2 linked regions of the Mus musculus genome follow. The protein of the gene in region 2 purifies or fractionates together with the protein of the main gene of each other region. This does not show direct contact. Links are inferred from orthologs where the notes say so. Each region holds a gene or a part of one and is shown on either strand. Other genes may lie near its edges.

What was found.
Region 1: the proteins of Ubn1 (region 2) and Asf1a purify together in Homo sapiens (affinity purification with mass spectrometry; 6 studies listed by BioGRID and IntAct, counting the BioPlex papers as one, with this or other methods). This does not show direct contact. The link is inferred for Mus musculus from reciprocal best matches to the Homo sapiens genes UBN1 and ASF1A.

The regions. Positions count from the first base shown.
Region 1 is NC_000076.6:53,606,848-53,609,941, forward strand, and holds the end of Asf1a (histone chaperone ASF1A), read left to right. Parts: intron 1-285; exon of another isoform or gene 286-817; coding exon 818-1,030; 3' UTR 1,031-2,135; coding exon of another isoform or gene 2,136-2,167; 3' UTR 2,168-2,378; downstream 2,379-3,094. UniProt on the Homo sapiens protein: Histone chaperone that facilitates histone deposition and histone exchange and removal during nucleosome assembly and disassembly.
Region 2 is NC_000082.6:5,059,935-5,063,763, reverse strand, and holds part of Ubn1 (ubinuclein-1), read right to left. Parts: intron 2,990-3,829; exon of another isoform or gene 2,882-2,989; intron 1,783-2,881; coding exon 1,696-1,782; intron 1,230-1,695; coding exon 1,134-1,229; intron 825-1,133; coding exon 690-824; intron 92-689; coding exon 1-91. UniProt on the Homo sapiens protein: Acts as a novel regulator of senescence. Involved in the formation of senescence-associated heterochromatin foci (SAHF), which represses expression of proliferation-promoting genes. Binds to proliferation-promoting genes.

The sequences.
Region 1 (3,094 bases), on a different chromosome or scaffold from region 2:
AGTATTTCTGATAATAACAAGTTAAATTCTGAGACATTAAAATCTGATTCAATAGTCTTATAAAAACACTTCTTAAAAACCTTTAGATTTTCCACTGGGAATGGTTAAGAGGTTTAGTTACTGGTGACTAACTAAAGTACTCTATCTGCTAGGCCTTACCATAGACTAGAGTTAGTTCTCCTTTCTGCAGGTGAGGGTGGGATGCTTTTCATAGTCTGAAGATCTGTTGATCCAGGATTACTCTTTGTAGAACCTTTGTATGGCAGTAAAAGAGACTAGAACATATTACTGTTTCGGAAACTGAGATTTAATATATTACTGCTAAGATCCCAATAATTAGGGGTTTTGTTTGGGGAAAATTGTTCATTTGAAGTCTGGTTATTGTATTTTATTTCTTAGTGCTTAGCATTGAACCTAGGGACTTTTCCAGAGTATGGCCAAGGCAGTGAGCGATATTCCCAACCTGAAAATACACCAGGCTAAAGACACACTTATTTAACTACCTCTAACAGGGATACGAAAGGACCTTTCCCTCCCGTATGTATTCTTTAGGTAGCAGAAGTATAAGAGCAGGTACTTTGTTGGGGGGTGAAATATGTTCCCCACCCCTCACTTCCCTTTACCTTGTTTCTGAAGGCTAATAGTTCTTTAGCCCTTTGCTATTGTGGTCCTTACTTATTAGTTATGTGTAAGTGCTTCACTTGTTGATGCCTTTGCATATGAATTTAGTCTTCTAGAAAGATAAAGAGAACCACCCAGTTTGCACAGGGTAATCTAACTCCCTTAGTGCTTACCACTTAAATGTTTCTCTTTCTAGCTTCAAAGGAATATTTTGGCATCTAATCCCAGAGTCACAAGATTCCACATTAACTGGGAAGATAATACAGAAAAACTGGAAGATGCAGAGAGCAGTAACCCAAATCTACAGTCCCTTCTTTCAACAGATGCATTACCGTCAGCGTCAAAGGGATGGTCCACGTCAGAAAACTCACTCAATGTTATGTTAGAATCCCACATGGACTGCATGTGACCACGTGCCATCCCATTAGTACAGATTAAGCTATTAAAAACAGAACTATTTCCCTGAAGTTCCGTAAGTACATAGTCAACGTGAAATGTGAAGAATTTGTTTAAAAACATCCTGTAGAAAGTTTATAAGAAAAACCAGTATTTGAGCAAATTGTGGATTATAAATACAACTATTTTTAAGTACTTTTTTCTCTAATGTGTTATTTTATTTGTTCATGAAACTAATCTGATTAAAGCATATATATTATTTTCTTCTCTTTTATATGTAATTAAAGCACTTATATCAAATTATTAGACCAGGTTGTAAAGGTGTTGTTTTAGCCTCTTGGACAATAAGATTTACTAGCTTTTAAAAAAACAAAGTTTACTTCAACTAAAATGATTTATTCCTGTGAAGATAGTGTCCTTTTAATTTGAGGAGAAAACTTCCATTCTGTAGTAAAAAAGATCACATTAAAATGGGATTTGAAGTCAATTATATGCCACCAGGGTTTTTCTAGGCCACCCCAGTGCATCTTACCACAACTTGTGTTACACCAGACTTCTAGTTTTTATATAACAAATGCAGCTGCCTTTGAAGTCCCTCTGACTATGGTGTATGCTTCCTTACATCTAAAACTGGGAAACCACGACCATAAATCATTGTCCAGAGATTTCAACATGGCAAGAGCAAATACAAGTTCTCTAAAGTGTAAGATTACATTAAAATGGTTCAGATCTGCTCTTTCTTTCAGTTTACAGAAATGCCGAACTTACAAGGGTAATTTAGAAAGGCCTGGTTAGCTTTATTCTGGCTAGCTACTTTACGAAGCATGTCTTACCATTTGCAGTTGTATTACCCCATATCCTCTGGCTCTCATTAACGTGTAAGATCAGGGTATTTTCTGTAGTTGACATAATCTACATAACTTTTCCAGACTTCTTTTTTTCTTTCTGAAGAGCAGTTTTAGAAAGGATAAATGGGCCAAAAGTGTATTTTCTTTAATGAGAAGTAAATACTTCCTCAAAGTTCTGATCCATTACATTTACAGTACAGTATTTTCATTTGATTATGGTGATGATGCACAGGAGAGCCATGGGATGCAGGTTATGCGGTGCCTTCACATCTAAGCTTTTATACTGCACTTTTCAAAACAGTCTGAGGAAAAGGAAAGGGCATTTGTCTAAACAGACTCTTTTAAGTTGTATATATTTCTTGCTATTTTAAAAGGTAAATTTGTGCAACCAAGTCTTGTTAAATGTTAAACTTTGAAATTTAAGACTCCAGGTTATTACAGTATTGACCATTACCCAGTTCATAGATTTTAAAAATAAAACCTGACTACTAAAACGATTTGAAAAAAAAAAAATCTCATTTTGTCTAACTACAATTAGGAGAAAATGTTAAAACAAGAGTCCAGTGATCAAAACAGTAAGAATCAGTTTGTTAGAAATAAAACTAAATCTTCAAGTTAAGTGATTCACTGGAGTATTAAGTCTGATTATAAAAACTACTTTGTAATGAGATTATGTGGTTAAGGTTTTATATCAATTTTTAAATATATGGCCCATTGTCACAAAAGTTTGAGACATAAAAACTACTAGTTTTTATTATTTAAAAGTTACTGCTCTATAGAATTTAGTAAAAGAATAATAGAAACATTTAAACATTAACAACTAAGAAACTAGCATGCAGTGATTTTAGGCATTATGTCTGAATTATAGTTACAAGGAAGACTGCCCTCCACCCCATTTCTTATTTTTGAGATATGATCTCTCAACATAGCCTTGGCTGTCCTGACCTCTCCATGTAGACCAGGCTAGCCTTCAGCTCACAGAGATCCACCTGCTTCTGTCTCCTGAGTGCTGACATTAAAGGCGTTCTACTCCATACTCAGTGCTATTTCCTCTTTTTGATCAGTGTAAATGAATGTGTGGTGAATACATAACACACACAGCACACACACTCCATTCGCGCAGCTGAAGAGCTAGGTTATGATGGCATTGTTTGAGTTGAGGAAACGTTTCAGAATCTGAGGAGAAGCATGCATACAGTTGTTCATTCACAACCTGGTCTGACCCTTCA
Region 2 (3,829 bases):
ACTTGGACTTTTTCGATTTCTTCTCCTTGTCGTAAGTGTCATCTTTTTTCTTCTTTTTTATCTTTTCACCACCTTCCTTCAACTTCCGCTTCTGAGAATTAAAAAAAAAAGGCAGTTACACAATTCCCTGAGTCAGAGAGCAAGTACACTAGACTTGCTCTGTGTAGTGTATATCTTCAGACCCATCTCATTTCCTTCATGAACAAAAAGCTGTCTCTCAAAGCAGTCCCTGGGTCAAGAACCCACAACATTCCAACAACAGTGTTTCCTGCAAGAATCCAAGTGAAGACCATGGTGGCTGTTCTAGAATTGGTTGTAGGTGAACTCGCTCATTTTAAGTAATGGCCAGTGGTAGGCAGGCCCTGAAATATACTCAAACTAAGGCTGACCAGTATGCAGTGGGTGACAGCCCCAGAATTAAAGTCCTCTCCAAGTCCACAGTGGAAAAGTCAGGAGGAGTGGGTTCATAGCACTCCCTAAGACTTATCTGGAAACATGACCCTGCTGGACCATCTTTAGACATGGATGAAATGACTAAGGCCTGACCAGCATCCCCATGTTCACATCCTGTACCTGTCCACCAATCTCCTGAGGCATCCTAAGAGACTACATATTCTAGAGTAACCTACTAATTTCACAGAGTCACATCAAAATATATTTCTAAAGTCCAAAAGAAAGAATATCCTAACCTTCGGAGATTTTTTCTTCTTTTCTTTAATGAAGTCATCTTCAGATTCTGAAGCTTGTCTAAACTGCAAGGTTCCTGAGTTGATGTAAAATCCTCCATACTTTGTAGTCAAAGAAGCAGGAACAAGTTCATCATACTAAAGGGGGAAACATATCATCAGCTCCCACTTCTGCTTCTATGGTCCAAGGTGCACAATTTAAGAGATGCAACTGGGATTGCCTGTCACTCTTCAGACACGATGCTAAGACCTCCTCTCTTCAATCACTAATGTGCAAGCTACTAGATGTTTTGGAAAGAGGTTTTCAAATAAAAAAAAAAATTCTGGGTTTAGGAGGTCTCTTCCTCTTAAGCTCAATGCTGCTTGTGCAAAGAGGACACACTGAGATACCACAACCCCACTTCCCCACTGTCAGTATCATACAATATCATTCCACTAAGTACTCACCGCCTCAGAGTTATCGATGAAAGAATCCGATTCATCATAGCCATACCCCATATCAATCAAGTCCTGTATTCGGTCTTTCCTACGTTTCTTTCCACCCTGAAATTTAAAAGGAAGGAGTCACATGCTTTTTGGTAAGTACAATTAAATGTTGCTTTGGGCTAGTGATTAAGTTGTAAAGTAATGAAAACACATACTACCCCCCAACCTGTCTCTGTCTCTCTTCTTTCTCTCACACACATACATAGTCCAATCCCGCCCCTAAAACTTGAAATAGAGCAGATTTAATCTGCATAAATGGCCTAAGAAAGAAGAACAAAACAGATTCTTCTGCTCTGTAACAAAATAGGTCCTCTAAGGCCTTATTTACGCCTTTAACTCACACACTGCCCTGCCACATAAGAGTTCTGTACCTTAATACATTGGTTTAATAGCTGCATTCTGTTTCCTCTGAATACTACATCTATTTCCAGGTCACTTTTGACTATCCACTAAATGATCATGAAATGCTTGGAGACTATTCTCACTGATGAGGCTGTTGTCTTGCCCAACAGAGAAATCTTACATATTTTTCTTCAAATTTCCGTGCAAGGGCCTCCACCTTATGCCTTTCTTTTTCTTCATCATTGAAAGGATCCAAGACATCTTTTTTCTGGAAAGAGATCATTTCACAAAAAATAAAACACATACATACAAAAAGCCATAGTCTTGGTTAAATAACCTTCCATGATTACCCAACACTTCTAAACTATGTAATAAAAACTATTATTCAGAAATAGCAAGATAAAATACCATTTTTTACTGTGGAAAAAACAGATTTTCACTAAGTGTATCAATTTATTGTAATCCTAGCTACTAGAGAGGCCAAGGCAGTGTGTGAGTTAAAGGCGTAAATAAGGCCTTAGAGGACCTATTTTGTTACAGAGCAGCCACATGGTGGCTCACAACCACCCGTAATGAGATCTGATGGCCTCTTCTGGGATGTCTGACATACAGTGTACTTATGTATAATAATAAATAAATCTTAAAAAAAAAAAAAAAAGATAAAAGGAAGCTGAGCGTGGTGGTGCACGCCTTTAATCCCAGCACTCGGGAGGCAGAGGTAGGCGGATTTCTGAGTTTGAGGCCAGCCTGGTCTACAAAGTAAGTTCCAGGACAGCCAAGGCTATACAGAAACCCTGTCTCGAAAAACAAAACAAAGAAAGAAAGAAAAAAAGGAGGGGAGGGGGCGCTAGAGAGATGGCTCAGTGGTTAAGAGCACTGACAAGGGCTGGTGAGATGGCTCAGTGGTTAAGAGCACTGACTGCTCTTCCGGAGGTCTGAGTTCAATTCCCAGCAACCACATGGTGGTTCACAACCATCTGAAATGGAATCCAATGCCCTCTTCTGGTGTGTCTGAAGACAGCTATAGTTACTCATACAAATGAATAAATAAATCTAAAAAAAAAAAAAAAAAAAAAAACATTTTAAGAAAGGTCAATAGGCTCCAAGATGCTTCTAGAATAGTCAAGGTTCAAAAAGGTTAAAAATGATAGCTCAGAGCATAAGAATACCAACTTCTCTTTAAAGGACTTGGATTCAATTCCCAGCATCCACATGGTAGCTCATAGCCATGCCCAACTCCAGTCGCAGGAAATCTAAGACCTTCTTCTGGCCTGATAATACTGTATGCATGTGGTACATAGACACATACGCAAGCCAAATAAACACACACATTAAATAAATAAACAAAGTTTTTTAAATTAAAAGCTGTGCTCTTTTTGGCAGCATACCTATTAAAACTGGAATGATACAGAGAAGACCAGCAAGGCTCCTGTTGCAAAGATGACATTCGAATTCATGAAACAATACATATTTAAAGAAAAAAGTTTAAAATCCCACAAAATGTAGTACAAGTTTTTGACAACCATTCTGGCTTTAGAAAAATGGTTTGAGGAGTTTAAGAACTTAGCCTACTGGTAGAATGCTTGCTTAGCAAGCACAAGCATTCATGAAAAGGAAAGAGGAACCAAAATACATAAAATATATTATTTATTTATTTATTTATTTATTTATTAGTGCTTCTCAAGTCAAACACTGATTCACAGAATCCTTACCCTTGGAAACATACCTTCAAGGGTCTACTGTCATGACTCTTTTGTTTGCCAACCTCAATAATCATTCTAAATACTTTCATGTAATCTTCTAAAGTTTGCTTTTATTCTATAAGTTTACTCATGTGTTTTTTTTAATTTATTTTATTTATAAGAGTACACTGCAGCTGTCTTCAGACACACCAGAAGAGGGTATCAGATCCCAGTACAGATGGTTGTGAGCCACCATGTGGTTGCTGGGATTTGAACTCAGGACCTCTGGAAGAGCAGTCAGTCTCTTAACCACTGAGTCATCTCTTCAGCCCCCAACTCCTACATTTTTTTAATCAAGTAAATTTTCCATGTTCTTGGGCAAGGAATTTTAATATTAATAGTGATTATAATCTATATGCTAAGACTTCAGAGTGCACATAAAATACTGAAAAATAGATGCTTGCTTCAAAATAAATGTCTCTAAGCCAAGTATGAAGGTACATTCCTGTTATTTCAGCACTTGGAAAACAGAAGCAAAAGAATAATCCTCTAGGGCTGGGGAGATGGCCCAGAAGTTAACAGCACTGAACGTTTGTTCTTCCAGAAAATAGGGGTTCAATTCCTGGCACCCAC